Notamacropus eugenii: one gene and its partner. The protein of the gene in region 2 purifies or fractionates together with the protein of the main gene of each other region. This does not show direct contact. Links are inferred from orthologs where the notes say so. Each region holds a gene or a part of one and is shown on either strand. Other genes may lie near its edges.

Region 1 (10,101 bases), about 520 Mb from region 2:
ATACTCACCACTCCACTGCAAGACTTGGTTCTAAGATCTATTTTAACCATACCAAACCCTGAAATAGAAAAGATTATAATATTCAAAAAGTGAAAGTTACTGTATTTTTTAAATTAGAAGGCATAAAAAATAGCTATACTTGCTACAATCTAAAATGTCTATTTCCATAATAACTTTAATTATAACTAGGTAACTCAAAGGCAACTTTACAAGACCAGGAAGAAGAGAATTAGCCTAGTCATTCATAAAGATGAGAAATACTTCTGCCACATTACAAGAGAGAACTAAGCACACTATAAAACATATATAAAAGCTGACATATGCACCTATATATCCAAGCTAAAAAAGACAGCTAAGTATCATAACATTTACTGAGTAGTTGTAATACTATGTTCAGCAAAGGAAAATAACATCAGCACAATTCAACTTAAAAAGATTTTTCAGCCACTGAGATCCCTACACAAATTGTTGTTCAGTCATGTCCAATTCTGTGTGACCTCATTTGGGGTTTTCTTGATATAAGTACTGGAGTGGTTTGCAATTTCCTTCTCTAACTCATTTGACAGATGAGGAAACTAAGGCCAATAGTTAACTGACTTGCCCAGGATCACAAAGCTAGTTGTCTGAGGTCAGATTTGAACTCGGGAAGATTAGACTGATTCTGGGCCTGGATTTCTATCCATTGCACCAGATAAATAAATGATTTTGTCAGTGTCACTGCTTAGGAAGGGCACTGATAAGCTCAAGGGCAACTATGATAATGATGGGTCTTGAACCCATTCTGTACGTGCATTAGGTAAAATAACTGGGGATATAGGGCTTGAAGAAAAGACTGTTAAGGGTTATAATCGCTATTTTCAAGTACATGAAAGGCTGTCATGTGGAAGAGATATTGCATTTATTCTGTTGGGCCTTGGAGGCAAAACCACAAGCAACCATAAGCTGCAAAGAGGCAACTTAATCTCAATGTCAGGAAAAACTAACAATTAGAATTGTCCAAAAATAGAATAGGCAACCTGGAGATGTAGTGGATTCCCTCTCAATGGAGGTCTTCAAACAAAGGTTAGATGACTATTCGTTTGGGTATATGGTAATTTGGATTCTTTTTGGGGCATGAGTTGGACTACATGATTACTGAGATCCACTCCAACCCTGAAATTCTATGATTATGGGTAAACACGGTATCTGACTACTTATTTGCCAGTCTTCTGCACTGCCTAACAAGAATATGTTATAGAACTAGCAATAAAATAAAAGCAAAAAAAAGTGTCTTAAAATATATTTCTTCTCTTAATGAGTATCAGGGCTTTAATATAAACCTGTTTGTTACCTCTCTAAACAACATGAAATCAGTTAAAATAATAACACTATTTTACAAGCAAAGGAACAAAAATTCAGTAACAGCATACATACCATATCCTTTGTTGAAGACATCTTTGGCAGCCTTTCCTAGGTCACAGTAAGTTGGTGTGTCACACATTTCTTCTGAGAAAAACAGAAACAAAGAAATAGAATTATTTAAAACAAACAGAATAGCTCTTCCATTACCTCGTTCAATAAAAGGGCTAGTGCTCTCTCATTAACACAAGAAAAGCAAATAGTTAAATTATCAGTATCAAAATCTTATCAGTATCAAAGAAGTATTTAACTCTAAGAAGCTTAAAGCTCATCTACTATTTAGATACACTCCAGATTTCAACATTTAACATGACTAAATTAACATTTAACATGCTCAGAAATGAGCAACAAGAGAGACGTTTGCATCCAGGCCTGTAATAATACAATACTAGGAAAAAAAACACACTTGGTAACACATTCCCGTATTTAAATTAAATTTTGTTAACCATCAGATGACACAATTATAAAAGGCTAAAAGACATAAAATCCTAGGAGATCATTCTGTTGTTTCTAAGGGATCTTTTCCAGATGAAAACTAAAAAAGCACTCTTACAATATTCGGAGATGCTCTTGATAGAATATAAAAGAACTCTTCTTTTAAATGCAACCAGATATACAAATCAATAATGTTTGAGATGTTTTTTAAACAACATGCAAAAAACCTCTCTAAGGATGTTATAAAAATCGAAGTAAAAAGCATCTCAGCTGCAGAGTAAAATAAGCAGAACCATGAGAATATACAAAATGACTTCGTTAAGGTAAATGAAAAGATCACCAAAAGGCAGTTGAATCTCAAGTAACGAAAAAATCAATAAGGGCCTTGGAAAAGAGATACTGAACACACCTCCATAGCAGAGGTGGGAGACTACTAAGACAGAATATCGTACACATTGTCAGACAAGGTTTCTTTATTGAACATAGTGGCAAAAGAGTTTTCATTGTCACAAGGGAGAGTTCAACCTTGGGACATAAAGGGTAAGAAATGACGGGTATGTAAACACAAAAGACAACAACGAAATAAACAAAAAGCACAGCAGGGAAACCTTTTATGAACCCTGGAAAAGAAGACAACAAACTCAACACAACTTTGCAAATTCAGTCCTTCAAAAAATGAATTATCCTACAACTGAACATCATTCACTAAAAATGGAGTTCTGAAACCAGGCCTATATACAATAATCTATGGGGCTGAAAATCTTTCTGATCCCAAGATAAAAATGGTGCAAAGCCAAAGATGAAATTTTTCAAAAGTCCAAAGTGGCTTGAACTTTCACCTTCATTATGAAATATTCATCACTTGCCATCATCATTTTTGCCAAGTTCTCAGAGAAGACATTGCATTTGTGGGTCTCACGTTTCTCTGCCCTCTTTATTTTAATAAGAAATCTATTCCTGCAGTAGGTTACGTTTCTGACGCTCAGATTTAAAAGACTAAATCAAGCAAGTGCAGAACGATTTCAAAGTGTCCCTTTGGTCAAACTTGTGATTATTACTAGGAAACATAGTGCTCCTGAAGGCACAGTCTGGGTACCTGGACTATTCGCATACTTATTAAAAAATATGTTAAGTGAATGATCCCATTCTTAAACCTAGCCCTCGGCTAGTTATTTAATCTAAACCCACAGAATACTGCAAAAAAAAAAAAATTAAAGAAAAAAGTTTACCTGTTCAAAAAAGAGTAATGAATGATCTCTATCAACCTCACTAAATAGTATAAACTTTAATTTTGTCCTGAAATAAAGTTTCACATTTTACTTCTAGAACAATTTTATCTTACAAATAAGACCTTATTAAAGTCTCTATAATGTTTTTATTTTTAGGAGACACTGTCTAATTTATTCCTACAAAGTGTTTTAGTTTTTTACTCAACTTCAAAACCTCCCCCAAATACTTAGTGCAAATTTTATGATCTAGTTTCTGTTTTCTTTACTGATTTCTACTCTCTTGGCCCAATGTCATTTTTTCCAAATGTTAATTAATGGCATTTTAAAAAACGGTGGGTAAGAAGCATCTGGTGCTTCCTTTTGCTACAGAGTCAGTGATGTTTTGTGCAAGTTATCTAAGTGAATTCGAGCTACTGAGCTCCGGTACGCACCACGTGTAGCTAGTTTTTAGAGAAATTCAAAGAACAAATCACCGAGATTTCGTTACTATGTCAGCCGCCCCGGGTCACGCCTTCGGAGTTCTGGACAGAGCACGTCCTCGGTTGGACTTTAAACAGCTTATCTCGGAGGGAACCCTAGCACTCCAGAGGAACAATTTTCCTCCACTACGATCACCTTTCCTCTATTAACGGAGCTTGGGCAGAGACGCCAGGACCCAAGGGCGCCGGCGCGGCCGCGGCTCCTCCTACGGACCCCAGCGGGGGGTCCGGGCGCCAAGTTCCGGGAGCAGGTGACAGCCCCCCGCACCCCGGCACGCTCCCGGGCACGTTCGGAGGCTCGCGGTAGGCGCTCCAGACATTCAGATTAGGGCTGAGAAGGGGCGGGCTCCCCCTCCCCCCGCGTCTGCTCGCCCGCCCGGCCCGGCCCGGCCCGGCCCAGCCCCCTCTGCCCCAACACAAAACCTCCAGCCTCGCTCCCTCCCTCTCTCTCACCACTCCCCTATTCCGGCGCTTCCCCGCCCCCAAGACGCCGCTCTCACAGTTACAAAGCGTTCTCTTCTCCTCCCCCCGTCCATTCCGCCTTCTCTTCGTATTCCACCCCAATCCCCAGAGCCGTCCCCCCAGCCTCGGGCCGGCCTGCGTAGCGCGCGAGCCTGCGGCCTCCTCACCTCTAACTGAGAAGCCACTCTCTCCTCTTCACCAGGGCAAAGCTGAAGGTCTTCTCCACACCGACCCCGCCTGCGCCTGCGCCGAAATCGCTGTCCCAGAGCGGCGCCTGCGCACCGCTGGACGCTGCTTCTTCCGCCCCGCCCCAGCCGCTCTCCCAACCCCACCCCGGAGCGGCGCTTCGGTGGCGCCTGCGCACCGCCGCACGCTGCTTCTTCCGCCCCGCCCCGCCCCGCCCCAGCCGCTCTCCCAACCCCACCCCTGAGCGGCGCTTCGGTGGCGCCTGCGCTCTGGTTTTCTGGCACCTGCCGAGGGGAGTGGCGGAGCGGCGAGGCGTGGGGTGGTGGGGGGAAAGGGAGAACCAAGGTGTCTGGGAGGGCGCCAAGCTATCCCCACAAGTTCCGGACCCTCTGTCGCTTACCGTGTACACGTGCGCGGGAAGGGTCCCCGACACACAGGGTGGCCGAGGGGCTGGGCGAGCGACGGGATGGACGCTAGAAGAGTACGACCATCGCGGAACGTGGCTGCTCTCGCGAGAACTGCCGTGGGCGGGACCGGTTTCTGTTACCGAGGCGTGAGAAGGCGGAGCGTGGCTGGTCCGGAGGGCGAGCCTGGGACTTCGACGTCCTTTCCAGGTGCGGCTCCGTGTGACCCTGGGGGAGTCACTGCCGTGCTCCCGCTCCAGTCTGCTCCTAGAGAGATGGAGAAGGTCATCATCGGAGGTGGTTGTGAAGGTCGCGCTGGAGAATATGAAGGGCTTGGCAGACGCTTCGAAGGGCGCGGTGAATGAGTGGGGTTGTATTTTGTATTATTTAGGAGGTGGGGAACCTGCGGCCTCTCGAGGCCTCGCAGTGAGGGCCGCGCTTGAGGACCTAAGGTGTCGGAGCTGGAAGAGCCCTTAGAGACCACCTAGTCCAGATGAGGAAGCTTGAAATTATTCGTGTGAGGTTTAGATTCAGTTAAAGGGCTGCACTCGAGGCCCTAGAGGGCCACGTGTGGCCCGGAGGCCGCAGGTCCCCCACCCCTGGCCCTGGACCATTCTGCTTCCATCCTGAGTGGACGCTTTGGACGTTTTAATTTTATGCTTTACCCGGAAATGGTTAAAAATTAAATGACGTGATAGTAGTAGCTAACATTTCTGTAGGCCTTAGCATAGGCCAGGCCCTGTGCTAAGCTCTTTACAATTATTATTTGATCCTCACAACAACGGGGGGGGGGGGGGGGGGGGGGGGGGAGGGAGTGGTGTGTTATGAGATCAAGTAGAAAAGGACGGTTTATTTATTGACTGGGACCTTCCTACAAAGCCTGAAGTTAAATCAGATAAGTCTTAAGAAACCTATATCATATTACGTATTTCAGTTTGGAAGGTATCCAGAAGGTCACTTAGTCTCTTCTATCCACCCCCACATTTTATAGATCAGGAAACCAAAGCTCTGAGAAGTCCAGTGTTCTGCCCTAGGCGGCCCACTTAATGAGTGCTAGAGGCAGGGTTGAAATCCAAGTCCATTAACTGCACATTACATTGTGTTTGCATCACATTGCCTTGAAGAAGAGATCTAACCTGGACTGGCCTGAGCCGTTGACATGAGGGCAGTATGAACAGAGATATGGAAATTGTTCTTTTCAATAGCTCTTTTTTCAAAGGCCTTGGTCTTTCTTCCCTATGAGAGCAACCTCAACTCATCTACATGAGCCTGTTCTCCTTCCCTTAGGTATTGAAAAAATTCTCCCCTAAGATTTATCTCAAATAATAGTCTGCTAAAATTACAGCCTCAGAATAATTTGGCTTTCTTCCCCTTTCTACTCTTTCCTCATTCTTCACAAATAATGGAAATATCAGGAGTCAGTTATTTTTCACCTTAGTCTCCTACTTAAATAGTCCAACATTTAAAGTTAGCATGTGGGTGAACCTGAGTTCTCAGGACCTACCAGATTTGGAAAGCTTTAAATATGGGCATGACCATGGACTGCATATGCCTTGTCCAAGGATCTTTCTAGCTTACTCTGAGGAAATTTAGTCACAGCATCTCATGGAGAAAACCTACCAAGACATGTAGAAGTGATCAGGTACTTCTAATATTTTTTCAATTGTATATAAAGACAATTTTTAACATCCATTTTTAAAATAAAATGTTGAGTTCCAAATTTTCTCTCTTACTCTTTCCCCTCCCTCCTCCCTAAGTAGGTAAGCAATTTGATATATGTGTAATAATGTAAACCTCATTTTCATGTTAGTCATGTTATGAAAGAAGAAACAATAAAAGGAAAAAAACTACAAAAAAAAAAAGTGAAAATGATATGCTTTGATCTGCGTTCAGACTCCATCAGGTTCCTTTTCTGGATGTGGATAGCATTTTCCATCATGAGTCTTTTGAAATTGCCTTGGATCATTGTATTGTTGAGAAGAGTTAAGTCAGTTATAGTTGATCATTGCAAAATGTTGCTCTTACTGTGTACAATGTTCTGGTTCTACTCACTTCAGTTTGTATCGGTTTATCTAAGTCTTTTCAGTTTTTTCTGATGAGGTACTTCTTGATAAGTGCCTCAAAAATCACATTGCTAGAATGGTTTGAGACTAGCCAGCTGGTGGAATAGGAGGACAGTCCTTCCAGCCTATTCATTCCAACCCCTATATGAACAAAGATCTCAGACAAGTACAAGATTGAATAGTGATCAGAAATCTAGGAAGAGATCAGAGTGGATCATCTTTCCAAAACAGGTTCAGCCCACAGGCAAGAGACCAGGGCAGGAACTCTGAAACAGAGGCAGCCTCAGAACATGGAGCCAGACTCCAGGAGCAAAATAGGGAGATTAAGATCTCAGACTCAGGCCTTGAGTATAGGTCTATTTCTTTAATCCAGGTTGGACTCATTCCCATACAAAGAATAGGGCCTCAGCATTTTCCATGTAATTGCTTGAAGAGGGAATCTGAGACTTGGGATATAGCTGCATGGCACAGGGATTCCAGCTCTGTTAAGGCCCATGGTGCTGTTGTTCTACCCAAGAGAGGGAATCTCAGAACCAAACTTCTGGAGCAGAAGAGAACCACAACTCTGACTCTATAACCCACGAGAAGGGATCTTGGGACTCAAGTTCAGTGCTGAAGCATGGGCCAAAGCATGGTTGTTCTGACCCCAGCAGCAGAACTACGGATAAAATAGGCCAGAACTATTCAAAGCAATGAGTTTCACCAGAAATGAGCAGTGCCTGACCCTAAGACAAAATCCTAATCTATGAAGTAAAACTGGGGAAATGAGTAAATAAAAAAAGACAAAACACCATTATGATACCAGGTATAACCAAGTCACAAATTCAGAAGAAGAGAATAATTCTAAAACTTTTAAAGCAAAGTCTCAAAAAAACAAAAATAAAACCCACTACAAATTGGTACAAAATCAATTACAGTCTCTAGAAGACATGAAACGAGATTTGTTGGGTTTTTAAAAAGCATTTAAAACTACTATAAGTTAGATGAAAACACTAAAGGAAGGAATTGAAAAGAAATGGAGGTATGGAGGAGAGAATCATAAAAGAATTGGCAGCTAAGCATAAGAGGTACAAGACCTTACCCAAATAACAGACACCTTGAAAATTACAATGAACTGAACAGAGTTAAGTTAATGACTCTAGGAGAGAAAAAAATATTAAGATAAAAGACTGAAAAAAATAGAGAAAATGTAAGATATCTCACATCAAAAAGCAACTGGCCTGGAAAATAAAACAAGGATTGATAATTTAAGAGTACCAGAAATGCATGACCAAAAAAGGAGTCTGGGTATCATATTTCAAGATATTATGAAAGAAAACTGCCCAGATCTGTTAAAACAAGGGCAAATTGAAAATAGAAAAGAATCCATCAATCATCTCTTGAAAGAAACTCCAAAGTGAAAACTCTCAAGGGCATCATAGACAAAGTCTAGAGCTTCCAGGTCAAAGTAGCCAGCAAGAAAATTCTCAAGAACTGAGGAACCATAGTTTTGATCACACAAAATTTATCAGCTACCGGTATAAGAGCATGGAATGTAATATTCCAAAAGGCAAAAGATGTAGGCCTACAGCCAAAAATAACAATTGTAATCTTACAGGAGAGAAAAATAGACCTTCAATGAAACATAGGACTTCCAGGCACTCCTGATGAAAAGACCAGAACTGATTGGAAACTTTGAAATGTAAACACAGGAGGCAAAAGAAACATAAAAAATTAATACAAGGGAACAATAGGAAGAAACTTTATAAGGATGAACTGTTTATATTCTTTTGGGAGAAGAGAATGATGAAAGCTACCTCCAGAACCTTAATGTCACAAGTTGTTGTTGTTATTGTTCAGTCATTTAGTTGTATCTGACACTTTATGACCCATGGACTGTAGCCGTCAGACCCTTCTATCTTCCACTACCTCTTGATATCTGTCCAGGGTCATGTTCATTGCTTCCATGACACTATCCATTTCATCCTCTGCTGTCCCCTTTTCCATTTGCCTTCAATCTTTCCCAACCTTTTAGTCTTTTCCAACGTGTCCTGTCTTATTATGTGGCCAAAATATTTAAGCTTCAGCTTCAGTATTTGACAATTCAATTTGAATTAATTTCTTTAATTATTGATTGATTTGATTTCCTTGTTGTCCAAGGGAATCCCAAAAGTCTTCTTAGCACCACAGTTTGAAAGTATTGATTTTGTGGCACTCAGCTTTCCTTATAGTCCAACCCTCACAGCCATACATTGCCAGTGGAAAAACCCTAGCTTTGACTATATGGACCTTTGTTGGCAAGATAATGTCTCAGTTTTTTAATATGCTGTCCAGATTTGCCATAGCTTTCCTTCCAAGGACCAAGCATCTTTTAATTTCATAGCTGCTGCTACTGTCTGCAGTGGTCGTTAAGCCCAAGAATATAAAATTTAACACTGCTTCCATTTCTTCTCCCTCTGTTTGCCAAGAAGTGATGGGACCAGTTGCCAAGATCTTAGTTTTTTTATGTTAAGCTTCAAGCCAGCTTTTACACTGTCCTCTTTCACCTTCATCAGCAGACTTACTTCTTCTGGCAACCTTAATTCTGGCTTTTGTTTTGTCCAGTCTGGCATTTTGCATATTATTTTCTGCATATAAGTTAAGTAAATAGGGTTACAATATATAGCGTTATCATATTCCTTTTCCAATCTTAAGCCAATCAGTTGTTCCAGGTTTGATTAGTGTAGTCAGTGAAGCAGAAGTAGTTTTTCTGGAACTTCCTTGTTTTCTCTGTAATGCAACAAATGCTGGCAATTTGGTCTCTAATTCCTCTGCCTCTTCAAGAACCATCCTGCTCTTCTGGTAATTCTTGGGCCACATGTTGCTTAAGACTAGTCTGCAGAATCTTAAGCATAACCTTGCTGGCATGTGAAATGAGTGTGGTTCTTCAATAATTTGAAGATTCTCTGATGTTGCGCTTTAAGATTGGTACATAAATTGATCTTTTACAATCCAGTGGTTGCTATTGAGTTTTCCAAATTTGTTGGCATATTGAGTTTAGTATTTTAACAACATCATCCTTTAGGATTTTAAATACCTCAGTTGGAATTCCTTCACCTCCACTAGCCTTATTGTTAGAAATGTTTCCTAAGGCCCACTTGACTTTGTTCTGCAGGGTGTCTAACCAAATCAGTAACCACACCATCATGGTTACAGGTAATATTGAGGTCTTTCCTGTATAGTTCTTCTGTATGGTCTTTCTAACTCTTCTTAATCTCTTTTACTTCTCTTAAGTCCCTACCATTTTTGCCTTTTGTCATGCCCATTTTTTTAAATGAAATTTTCCCCTGATATTTCTGATTTTCATGAAGAGATCTCTTGTCTTTCCCATTCTGTTGTTTTCTTCTATTTCTCTGCATTGCTCATTTAGGAAAACTTTCTTATTTTTCCTTGCAACTCTCTGGAATTCTGCATTCAATTAGATACA
Region 2 (9,982 bases):
GACACAAATGAAAGAAGTGAACAACAATTATTGCTAATAACAAATATACATTAGTCTTTTTCGGATTCCTATTTCAGATCTATGGTCAGTTGGCTAAAGGGAAGCCATTATAACAGATGTGATTTACCTAAAGGCCAGGAAATGCCTCCATTCCCTCACAACGGTAAGGCATCTAACTCTAGCCAACACCCTCCAGGACCTAGACTGCTGTCTTACAAAAAAATGTAAGGTCTTAATGGCAAGGAGGCCTTTGTCCTGAGTACAGATGGCTCAATGCAACCTGTCTCCACCACCAGGAAAAAATATACCACAGAGGAAATCAGATTAACACAAATTACACCATCTTCCCATAAGAAGGGCAGCATACTATTAGACTAGGGCCTTATTAGTGCTTGGATGTTATTGGCATGCAGGTTAGGTATGTCCAGGGAGTCCTCTCATCTATTCTCATGCAACTGTCTACGGTGTTTATTAATGCCTTCTTTCCTGCTTTCCTTCTTCCCCACCCACTCATTCACTAGGGCATTTTAGAAAAGGAGTGACACACTGGCCTGGTTTGCCATGACTCTCTTAGCAGGCAAGAAAAGACCAGTTAGTAACTAAGGAGAGGCCCTTTGGTGACTATTATTTACCTGGCTAGAAAGGTATGGCAGAAAATTTCAGAAAGGCACAATTAAATTGGCAGATTTAGATTCTTCCTGAGTGAGTTTTCCTGAATTAAGGCAACTGGTAAGATCACCACATAACAATTTTCAAGGGAAAAATATTAGCAAACAGCAGCCTTTTCCTAGAAAATATGTGGTCTCCTAAGGATCATTTACTAATTTTCCATTAACTTAGGAAAAAACAAACTGCCATCATTTCAAGGTAACTAGCAATTTGACAAAGCCAAATGAATTCTGACAGAACTATGTGCCACAAATGGTAAGATGACAAATGGAAGAAAAAGCCTCAACCTTTCTCCTCAACTCCCACTAAAGCAGTTCCACTGGTAATAATAATTTATTAGGCACATACCTATGGCTTTTGGGTTTACAAAAGGCTTTATAAACATTGTCTCACTTGATCCTCAATCATATGTGTGTTCATCCTTCGATGCCCAAGAAGACCATGCCATCAGAGAAATGATGACATGATTTGCACTTGATTTTGTTTTGAGTGAGGGAGGGCTGTTGTGCAAGGTCACCAGTCTCACTTCTCCTCCAGAGCCATCTGAATCCAGTGACCAGATTCATCAGGATGACTGGAGATGACTCAGGATGAGGCAATTGGGTTTAAGTGACTTGCCCAAGGTCACACAGCAAGTGAGTGTCAAGTGTCTAAGGTGAGATTTGAATTCAGGTCCTCCTTACTCCTGCCCCTAGCTGCTCCTCACAATCACAGTTGGGAGGTTAACAAAGGTACTGCCATGATGAGTTGAATTCTACAGATAAGAAAACAGGCTCAGAGAGGTTGATTACCTAGGTAATAAAAGTGCCTGAGACAGGATTTGAACCAAAACAGTTCCACTACAACAACCTGACTGCTACAGTTGGCCCTTGTAGAGAAAGGGAGGGGAAGGGAATAAGCATTTATACAGGGATTGCTATGTGCCAGGCACTGCGCTACGTGTCTTGTAAAAATATTATCTCATTTGGTCATTGTAGAAATTGTGTTGCTAAATCTCTCTAAAGGATCTTAAATATTTCCAGACTAGACTAAATATCATATTCCAGTGAACCGAAAACAGGACAAGTGGCTCATTTCAGCTCTGCCATACTGAGCGGGCACCTCTAGTACTACTGAGGCAACGGGAGGAATTACACAAACAACCTGAATGCAGTTTATGATGCAGAGAAGCAAGGAAAACAATGAAAAGAATGCATTTAGGGTGTTGGACCTCCCATTACCCACTTCTGGATTACAAGGAATTTCTTCCCCTCCCCCTAACAATCCCTCGTTAAAGACCCCACATAGTTTCCAGTCCAGATGTGGTCAGAGAACTTACATTGTAACCAAGCTTCTGTTAAGTCTAACTCCCTAATTCAAGACAGAGGAGGAAACAATGTTTGCCATGGTGAAAGTAACTCTCAACTAAGGAAAGGTAATAATGTGAGTTAACACGGATCCTCCTTGGAGCATCCTGATTATGTGTTCTCAGGTCCCTCACTCCTGGAGATGCCTCCTCAAAAACCTCCTGCACCAAACTACCACGGGATTCATTTTTTACTGTTACAGTGTTTTGTTTTGTTTCTGACTTCCCCGGCTACTGAGCCCAGAGCATCAGCAGTGGGGAACCCGACCTCCTGCCTAGTGGTCCCTTCTAGTGGTTTCCCCCAGTGGCACAAAGAAAGGACAACACACAGCAGAGCTCGGTCACGCTTTGTGACTTCCAATGGGGGCCCACAATAAATTCATTCCCTGACTTGGAGGGAGGAGTCAGAATCAACCCCAAACTTTCCACCAAATCCCCTAAGTGCATTTCTTTGCATGGAACCACAAGAAGGAAAAGTACCTCTGTGGATCTAATGAAATGCCCCCAATGCCACTCACTCAGCTGAAAGGCAGCAGCCGAGCCGGGCCGGGAGCCCCCCAGACAAGCTCCCACATCCACACAACCCAAAGCCCCATCCCCCGCGTGCTCTTTTCAGTCTCAAAGCTAAGCCACGCGTGTACTCCCCAGGGACGTGGGCTACTCAAGTCACGCGGCTGGGGCACTGAAGTTCTCCCTACACTTCTCTCCACCGAGGGTCCCACGGGAGGGGAGGCTAAGGGGCAGATGGGAGTAAGGGGTAGATGGGGGTGTAAGGCGCGGGGGGGGGGGGGGGGTAAGGGGCAGACAGAGATAAGGGGCAGGCGGGGTAAGGGGCAGATGGGGAAGTCAGCGCCCAGCCATTTTCACCACTTAAGTAGACGCCCCACCCCCGGCACCCCCTTCTCCTGGGGCTCCCAATTCGCCCCAAACAGACTCCCACCCGCCGAGTCTCCGCCGGCGCCTGGGGTGAGCAGCGGGGGGCAGGCTCGGCGGGCGCCCCCGGAGCGTGCCGGGCAGGATGCCGCGGCCGTCCCCTCCCCCAGGTTCCGAAGCTGCAGTCCAGGTGGCCCTGCCGGGCCGGACCAGTAAGTCCCGGCTCGCCCTCCCGCGGCCCGGGGGCTGGCCCGGCGGGGCGTCCAGGGTCCCGTTCGGGCGGCCCCGGGCCGGCCCTGCCCTCCCCAGCCCAGGAGCGGCCTCTCCCCAACCCCGCGCGTTATCTACCCAGTGCGGGTCGGAGCCGTCCGCGCTGCAGAAACGAAGGAACGCCATGTGGCCAGGCCGGGGCCGGGGCCGGGGCCGGGGCCGGGCCGGGCCGGCGGGAGGACGGATGGACCGGCGGCCGAGCTGCCGGCGGCGGCAGCGAGTGCGGAGGCTGGAGGCGTCAGAGGCGGCGGCGGCTGCTCCGAGGGGAGAGGAGAAAGCCGGGAGGAGGCGAAGGAGGAGGAGGAGGAGGCGTCGGCGGCCGCGGCGGGCCGGGAGGTAACCCGGGCAGCCGCAACGCCGCCTGGTTGGCCCGCACGTCACCGGGATGGGGCCCGGCTCCGCCCAGTCGTCCGCGCTCACCTTCGGAAGCGCTGGGGGTGGGGGCTGGGGAGGGAAACTGAGGAAGGCGGGGGCGCGGGGCGGCCCTCTGCCTGCCCATCCCGGGCCGCCCCAAATGCCGCCCTCCCGAACCAGCGCCCTGGTCCCTCGGCCGAGCGAGCAGCCAGACACACGGAGGAAACGTTCATCGTGTTCCAGGGCCGGGGATACCGAGAAAACGCGTACACACACACGCGCACACAGACACACACAGACACACACACACGCCGGGGATACAGAGAAAACGCGTACACACACGCACACACAGACACACACAGACACACACACACGCCGGGGATACAGAGAAAACGCGTACACACACGCACACAGACACGCACACAGACACACACACGCCGGGGATACAGAGAAAACACGTACATACACACAAACATGCTGAGGATACATAGAAAACATGTACAGACACACATACATACATACACACACACTCACTCCACTAGTCCCAGCCTTCTAGGGAGCTGTACATTCTAATGGGGGCAGACACCTGGGAGAAAATCTAGGATCAAACCAGTCAAACATAAAGGTGTGCTAAGCGCTGGGGGGTGGGAAAAAAACTGTCTCTGCCCCCAAGAAGCTTACAGTTCTAAAAGGGGAAGACAGTAATAGTAACCATTGCAGCAAAAATGATAATGTTTATGTATAGTACTTACTATGTGCCAGGCACCGGGGGCATAAAAAGAGGTTAAAGAAAGTCCCTGCCCCCAAGGAGCTTACAGTTCTAAAAGGGGAAGACAGTAATAGTAACCATTGCAGCAAAAATGATAATGTTTATGTATAGTACTTACTATGTGCCAGGCACCGGGGGCATAAAAAGAGGTTAAAGAAAGTCCCTGCCCCCAAGGAGCTTACAGTTCTAAAGGGGAACGTTACAACAGTAACATTTACTCTGTGCCGGGCACCGTGCTAAACTCTAGAGACACAAAGAGCTCACAAGTCACTAGATGGAGACCATGAGCCAACAACTATCTGTAAACAAACTGAATAAAGGGTGTGTGGCTTCTGAGGGGTTTTTTTTTAATATTTTGTTAACTATTTCATGATGATTGATTACCTTTGTCAATCGGTTAATACACATTAAGTACCCAGTATGTATTAGAGAATGAGCTTAGCACTAGAGAAACAAAGAAAGACAAAAGACAACTTTCTGCTCTGGAAGAGCTTACATCCTATGTATTTTATCTTATACATTTAAAAGCATTACTCTGAAAAGGAGTCCATAGGCTTTACCACACTGCCAGAAGGGTTCACCACAAACATACACACACACACACACACACACACACACACACAGCCCCTTGATCTATATACTTACAAAATATATGCAGAAAAGATGAAGTTCATTAACAAATGGAGGGGCCTTTGAGGTGAGCCTTGAAGGAAGCCAGGGTAATTCAATAGGTGGAGATGAGAGGCCAGATCAGTCTTAAACCAAGAGCAGAATGAAGCAGAGGTGGGCTCCTTTCCTGGTCCTACATCTCTGTCAGTCCCCTAGTCTAATTTCTTCCTTTCAGACTAACAACTCTTAAAACACCACTTCTTCCGGAAGGCCCAAGTATTATTAAGTGGCTGGATTGTGTCAGGCTCTGTGCTAGGCACTAGGAATCCAAGTACAAAGAAATGAGAAACAGTAAACTTATCTTATGGATTCCTTGCCTCCCTACTCCCTATTTTTCTCCTTGATGTGATTTCAAAATAAAACAAAACCTGGAGTTATGTAAGTACAAATCTCATCTATGTAGGATCAAATCGGGGAGGATGAAGGCTGTTCAGTGATCACAGGAGAATAGCTACTGATTGACAAAATACTTTTTATCTTTGACAAAGTGGTGATGGTGACTTTAAAGAAGTCTGGTAACAGCATGGGCAGGTTTGGTTTTTGTTCTTATTAAAGTTTGCTTTAATTTATTTGCTAGTTCCCTAAGTCGTCCAAGAGCTATTGCTTCTCTCTATGCGCTTATGGCAACACCCCCTCTCACCTCCCTCCCCTTATGAGGTTCTGGCAAGGAAAACAAATACGGTAATAGTCTGTGTACACAGAGACTCTGGGCACCTGGCCAGCACCACACAACACTGAGACCAAAGCGAGAGAACAGTGACTGAAATAAAGGATATGGATTTCCATACAACCCATTTGCACTGTATGTATCTTGTGTGAACATGTATTTCCATGTGGTCTCTCCGAGTAGATTGTTAGCTCCTTAAGGGTAAGGACTCTGCATTTGCCTTTCTTTGTATCTCCAGAGCTTAGTACAGGGTCTGGCATGGGGAAGGCTTACTAAATGCTTGTTGACTGAGGGAATGACTGCCTATAATGTGATAAAAATCAGCTTTAGCAGACTTCGAATTTTGTAAATACTAGCCAACAGTACAAGAGATGCTAACAGAGGAGTGGAATGAAAGGGGTAGCATAGGTCAGGGAAAGCCCCCAAAATCTCCATCTCCACCACATATCCTAGAAGCAAAACAGCAAACTGAACATCAGATTTCTTCTTCCTAACAGAGAGATGAGAGCAGACCTCTGTTCCCCTCAAAAGTTAGTTTTGCCAATCTCCCCCAGGAATTGGGGGGAGAAGAATAATTTGGATGCATGAGGCCTGGGTGAAGCATGAGGTAACTAACTGGTGGCTGCCAGGAGAGGCAGGGAGTGGATTAAGAGAAGAGATTAGAGGTAGTGAGAATAGATGGAGAAAGGAAGATTAAAAAAAAAAAAACTCACTTGAAATTTTGCAGAAATCCATGGTGACGGTGATTTACTTTAATACTCAATTATCTGTCATCTACAGGAGTACTCCATAATGTTCCAGACTGTCACTAACTCCAGTAGCTCCCTATGACCTCCAGGATCAAATATAAAAATCGTCTGGTGTCAAAAGTCCTTCAAAACCTGCCTCCCCCTTTCCAGTCTTCTTATAGCTTACTCCCCATCCCCATCCCCCACACATATCATGTACTTTCTTCATTCCAACGACACTGACCTTTTTGCTGTAGCTCTAACAAGACATTCCACCCCCTAACTAGGACTTTTCACTGTCTTCCCCACAACTGGAATGTTCTCCATCCTCATCTCCGCTTGGTGACTTCCCTGACTTCCTTCAGGTGGTAGGTAAAACTCCACATTTGGGATGGTTTCAGATAAACTTGAGAAGACTTGTATGAAGTTGGTGCAAAGTAAAGTAAGCAGGACCAGGAGAACAATTTACAAAGTAACAATATTGTAAAGATAATCAACCTTGAAAGACTTAGTAACTGATCAAGGACCAACCACAGTTCCAAAGGGCTCACTATGAAAAATGTTATTCACTTCCAAAAAAAGAGTTGAAGGACTCAAGCATGAAGCCTGAAGCATAGTTCCTTTTCCTTTCTTCCTTCCTTTCTCTTTTTCTTTCTTTTGTGGCATGCCAAATACAGAAATTTGTTGCGCATGACTATACATATTTGAAATGAGTTTTGTTTTTCTTCTCTTCCAGATGGGTGGAAGAGGCTGAGAAGAGGAGAGACAGTTTAGAATTGAAGAATTTTAAATAAAAAAAAAAATAAAACCCCACTTGGCCTTGTTAGATTCCCCTTATTTCTAGTGCCTTTTCTCTGTTGATTATTTCCCATTTATCCTATATATAGCTTGTTTATATATATTTTGTTTGCATATTGTCCTTGAGGGCACATTTTATATTTTGCCTTTCTTCATATCCTAAGCACCTAGCACAGTGCCTGATACATAGATACCACTTAATAAATATTTACTAATTGCTACATAAATTATTGGAGACAACTTGACTGATTTGGGGATGACAAACAGTTCCTTGCCAGACCCATAGTTTTCATTGTTTTCCACTGGTAAAAGTTGGCAGTGTTCATGATCTCCTGGCAGATCCTTCAAAAACCCAAGATCACTACCATACCATGATAAGACATAAGAAGGACTTCAGCATGTCACTGAAAATATCTCCTGTCCTACCTTTGGCATGTATTCCCCAAAGTTACCAATGCTTGGCCTATCATGTGCCCAGAATGGTCAGGTATTCTTCAAGATACAAAAGAAAGTAAAAGACACTACCCTAACCTTCAAGAAGTTAATGAATCAGATAGGAAAACACAACCTAAATCAGGTAGAAAAAAATTAAGTGCTAAGCCCCACATATTTTGACGATATCAGAATAATTGCCCAATGAAGAAGAGTGGTGACCTCTAATGTACTTTTCAGATCTAAATATACCCTATGATATCTTATGAAGGCAACAAACAGCATGTTTTAGATTTGCCAATCTGATCAAGATGATTCAAAATGGAAATTTGGAAAGAAAGGTATTCCTTTAAAATTAGACGCAGTAGAGGGCAAAATAGAAATGACATAGAACAGTCATGGAGAAAGTGCTCTTGGAAGCAAAACAATAGGGAAGAGGATGTCTTTACAATATTAATGGATTTAAATGTCTATCAGTGAACCACAGCATGGGTAACAAAATTTTTAACACAAGAAAACTAATCTCATTGTTGGTATTGACATTTGATGGGAAAATATTCATTACAGAAATACAGTACTGAAAGAGTATTTTTTTAAAGAAAAATATCTAGTAGAAGGAGCAACACTGTATGTCAAACACGTATATACTTATTTGTTTTTAGTTTTGATTTTCTTTTTAATTTTTTTCAAAGATCTACCTTCTCTCCCTCCCACTTCTCCTATTTCTACTGAGAAAGCAAGAAAAACAAAATCCCTTTACAATCATGTAATGTCAAACAAAATAAATTCCTGAATTAGCCACATCCCAAAAACATATGTCTCAACCTGAATAATAATAAAATGTTTATATAGTGCTTACTATGTCCCAGGCACTGTGCTAAGCTCTGGAGATACAAAAAGAGGTAAAAAGGCAGTCTCTGATTTTATAGAGTTCAAATTTTCAAACATGGAAACAATAAACCAAGAACTATGCACAAACAAACTGAAGGTAGAAACAAACTGAATAAAAGGTCTGTGAACTTGTGGGGTTTTTAAAAAATATTTTGATAACTATTTCATTATGATTGGTAACTTTTGTCAATCAGTCAGTAAATATTAATCGTCTACTATGTGCCAAGCAATGAGCTTAGTGCTGGGAAAACAAAGAAGAACAAAAGACAGTTTCTGCTCTGGAAGAGCTCACATCCTATGTATTTTATTTTATACCTTTAAAAACATTATCCTGAAAAGGAGTCCATAGGCTTTACCAGGCTGCCAGAGGGGGTCCATCACACACACACACACACAGCCCCCTGATCTATTTACTTACAAATACATGCAGAAAACATGGAATGCATTAACAAATGGAGAGGACTTTTCAGTTAAGTCTTGAAGGAAGCCAGGGTAGTTCTATAGGTGGAGATGGGGTACAATGAATCGGAGGTGGGCTCCTTTCCTGGTCCTAGATTCCTATCAATCCCCTATTCTTTTTTCTTTCTTTCAGACTCATGCCACTTCCTCCGGGAGGCCAAGTAAAACAATCAAGTATTATTAAACACCTACACTGTGTCAGGCACTGTGCTAGGTGCCAGAAAGGTGGAAAAAATAAATTAAGCTTCGTGGAAAATACTGACACCAAATAGAATTTTTTAGAGCTATGTTTCAGTTCAAGTAAAACAAAGAAAGGATAGGTGAATACCTTAGGACAATGGTATAATGTTAATAGATAATGGGGTTTTCTCTATCTGCAAAAATGGAAAAAGGAAAACAGAGATAAAAGAAATAAAAGCACCTAGCTATCCTAAATGAGTTGAAGCTTCTGAACCTAGAATTGTATCTCAGTGTACCAAAAGAACTAGGAGACCTCAAAAGTGAACTACAATCATTCTTTTTTGTAACTACGAAGAATGGAAGGAAAAAAAACAACACCGAAAGACTAAAAGAGGGGCAGAGATGGGAGAAGTCCTGATTTTTAAGAAGGGGGAAGAGGTAAACCCTAGAAACTACAGAATAGTGTACTTAGCACAGATCCCTAGAAAATTCCTAAAATGAATTATTAAACAGATGATTCATGAGCACTTAGAAATGTAATCATTGATTACTAAATGCCAATATAGACTCACTAAGAACAAAATTCCACTAAATTCTTATTCCGTAGCTTCATCATGATAAGAAGGTTACCCTGAATTCTTGAAGGCTAATGATAACAGAATACACGCTATGCCAGATTCTACCAAAATGGAAAGTCTGAAAGTATATACTGAAGTGATAAGTCACATGTATCTGTGGCCTATAGGCCAGCATGGCCAAGTACAGAGAGACTCATTACCATGGTGTTCCCAGGATGATGATTTTTAATTTTATTTAATTTAATTTTATTTGATAGTAACTCTCCAAAACCAGCTACTAACTCTTAGGGGAATTTTAAT

The links. Proteins that work in one complex are often made in the same cells at the same time.
Region 1: the proteins of ABCC1 (region 2) and VDAC3 fractionate together in Homo sapiens (co-fractionation; 3 studies listed by BioGRID). This does not show direct contact. The link is inferred for Notamacropus eugenii from reciprocal best matches to the Homo sapiens genes ABCC1 and VDAC3.

What each region holds. Positions count from the first base shown.
Region 1 is NC_092872.1:618,132,818-618,142,918, forward strand, and holds the start of VDAC3 (non-selective voltage-gated ion channel VDAC3), read right to left. Parts: upstream 4,696-10,101; 5' UTR 4,590-4,695; intron 4,247-4,589; exon of another isoform or gene 4,171-4,246; intron 1,486-4,170; 5' UTR 1,481-1,485; coding exon 1,414-1,480; intron 59-1,413; coding exon 9-58; intron 1-8. UniProt on the Homo sapiens protein: Non-selective voltage-gated ion channel that mediates the transport of anions and cations through the mitochondrion outer membrane and plasma membrane.
Region 2 is NC_092872.1:96,267,790-96,277,771, reverse strand, and holds the start of ABCC1 (multidrug resistance-associated protein 1), read right to left. Parts: upstream 4,114-9,982; 5' UTR 4,028-4,113; coding exon 3,578-4,027; intron 3,566-3,577; exon of another isoform or gene 3,284-3,565; coding exon of another isoform or gene 3,236-3,283; intron 1-3,235.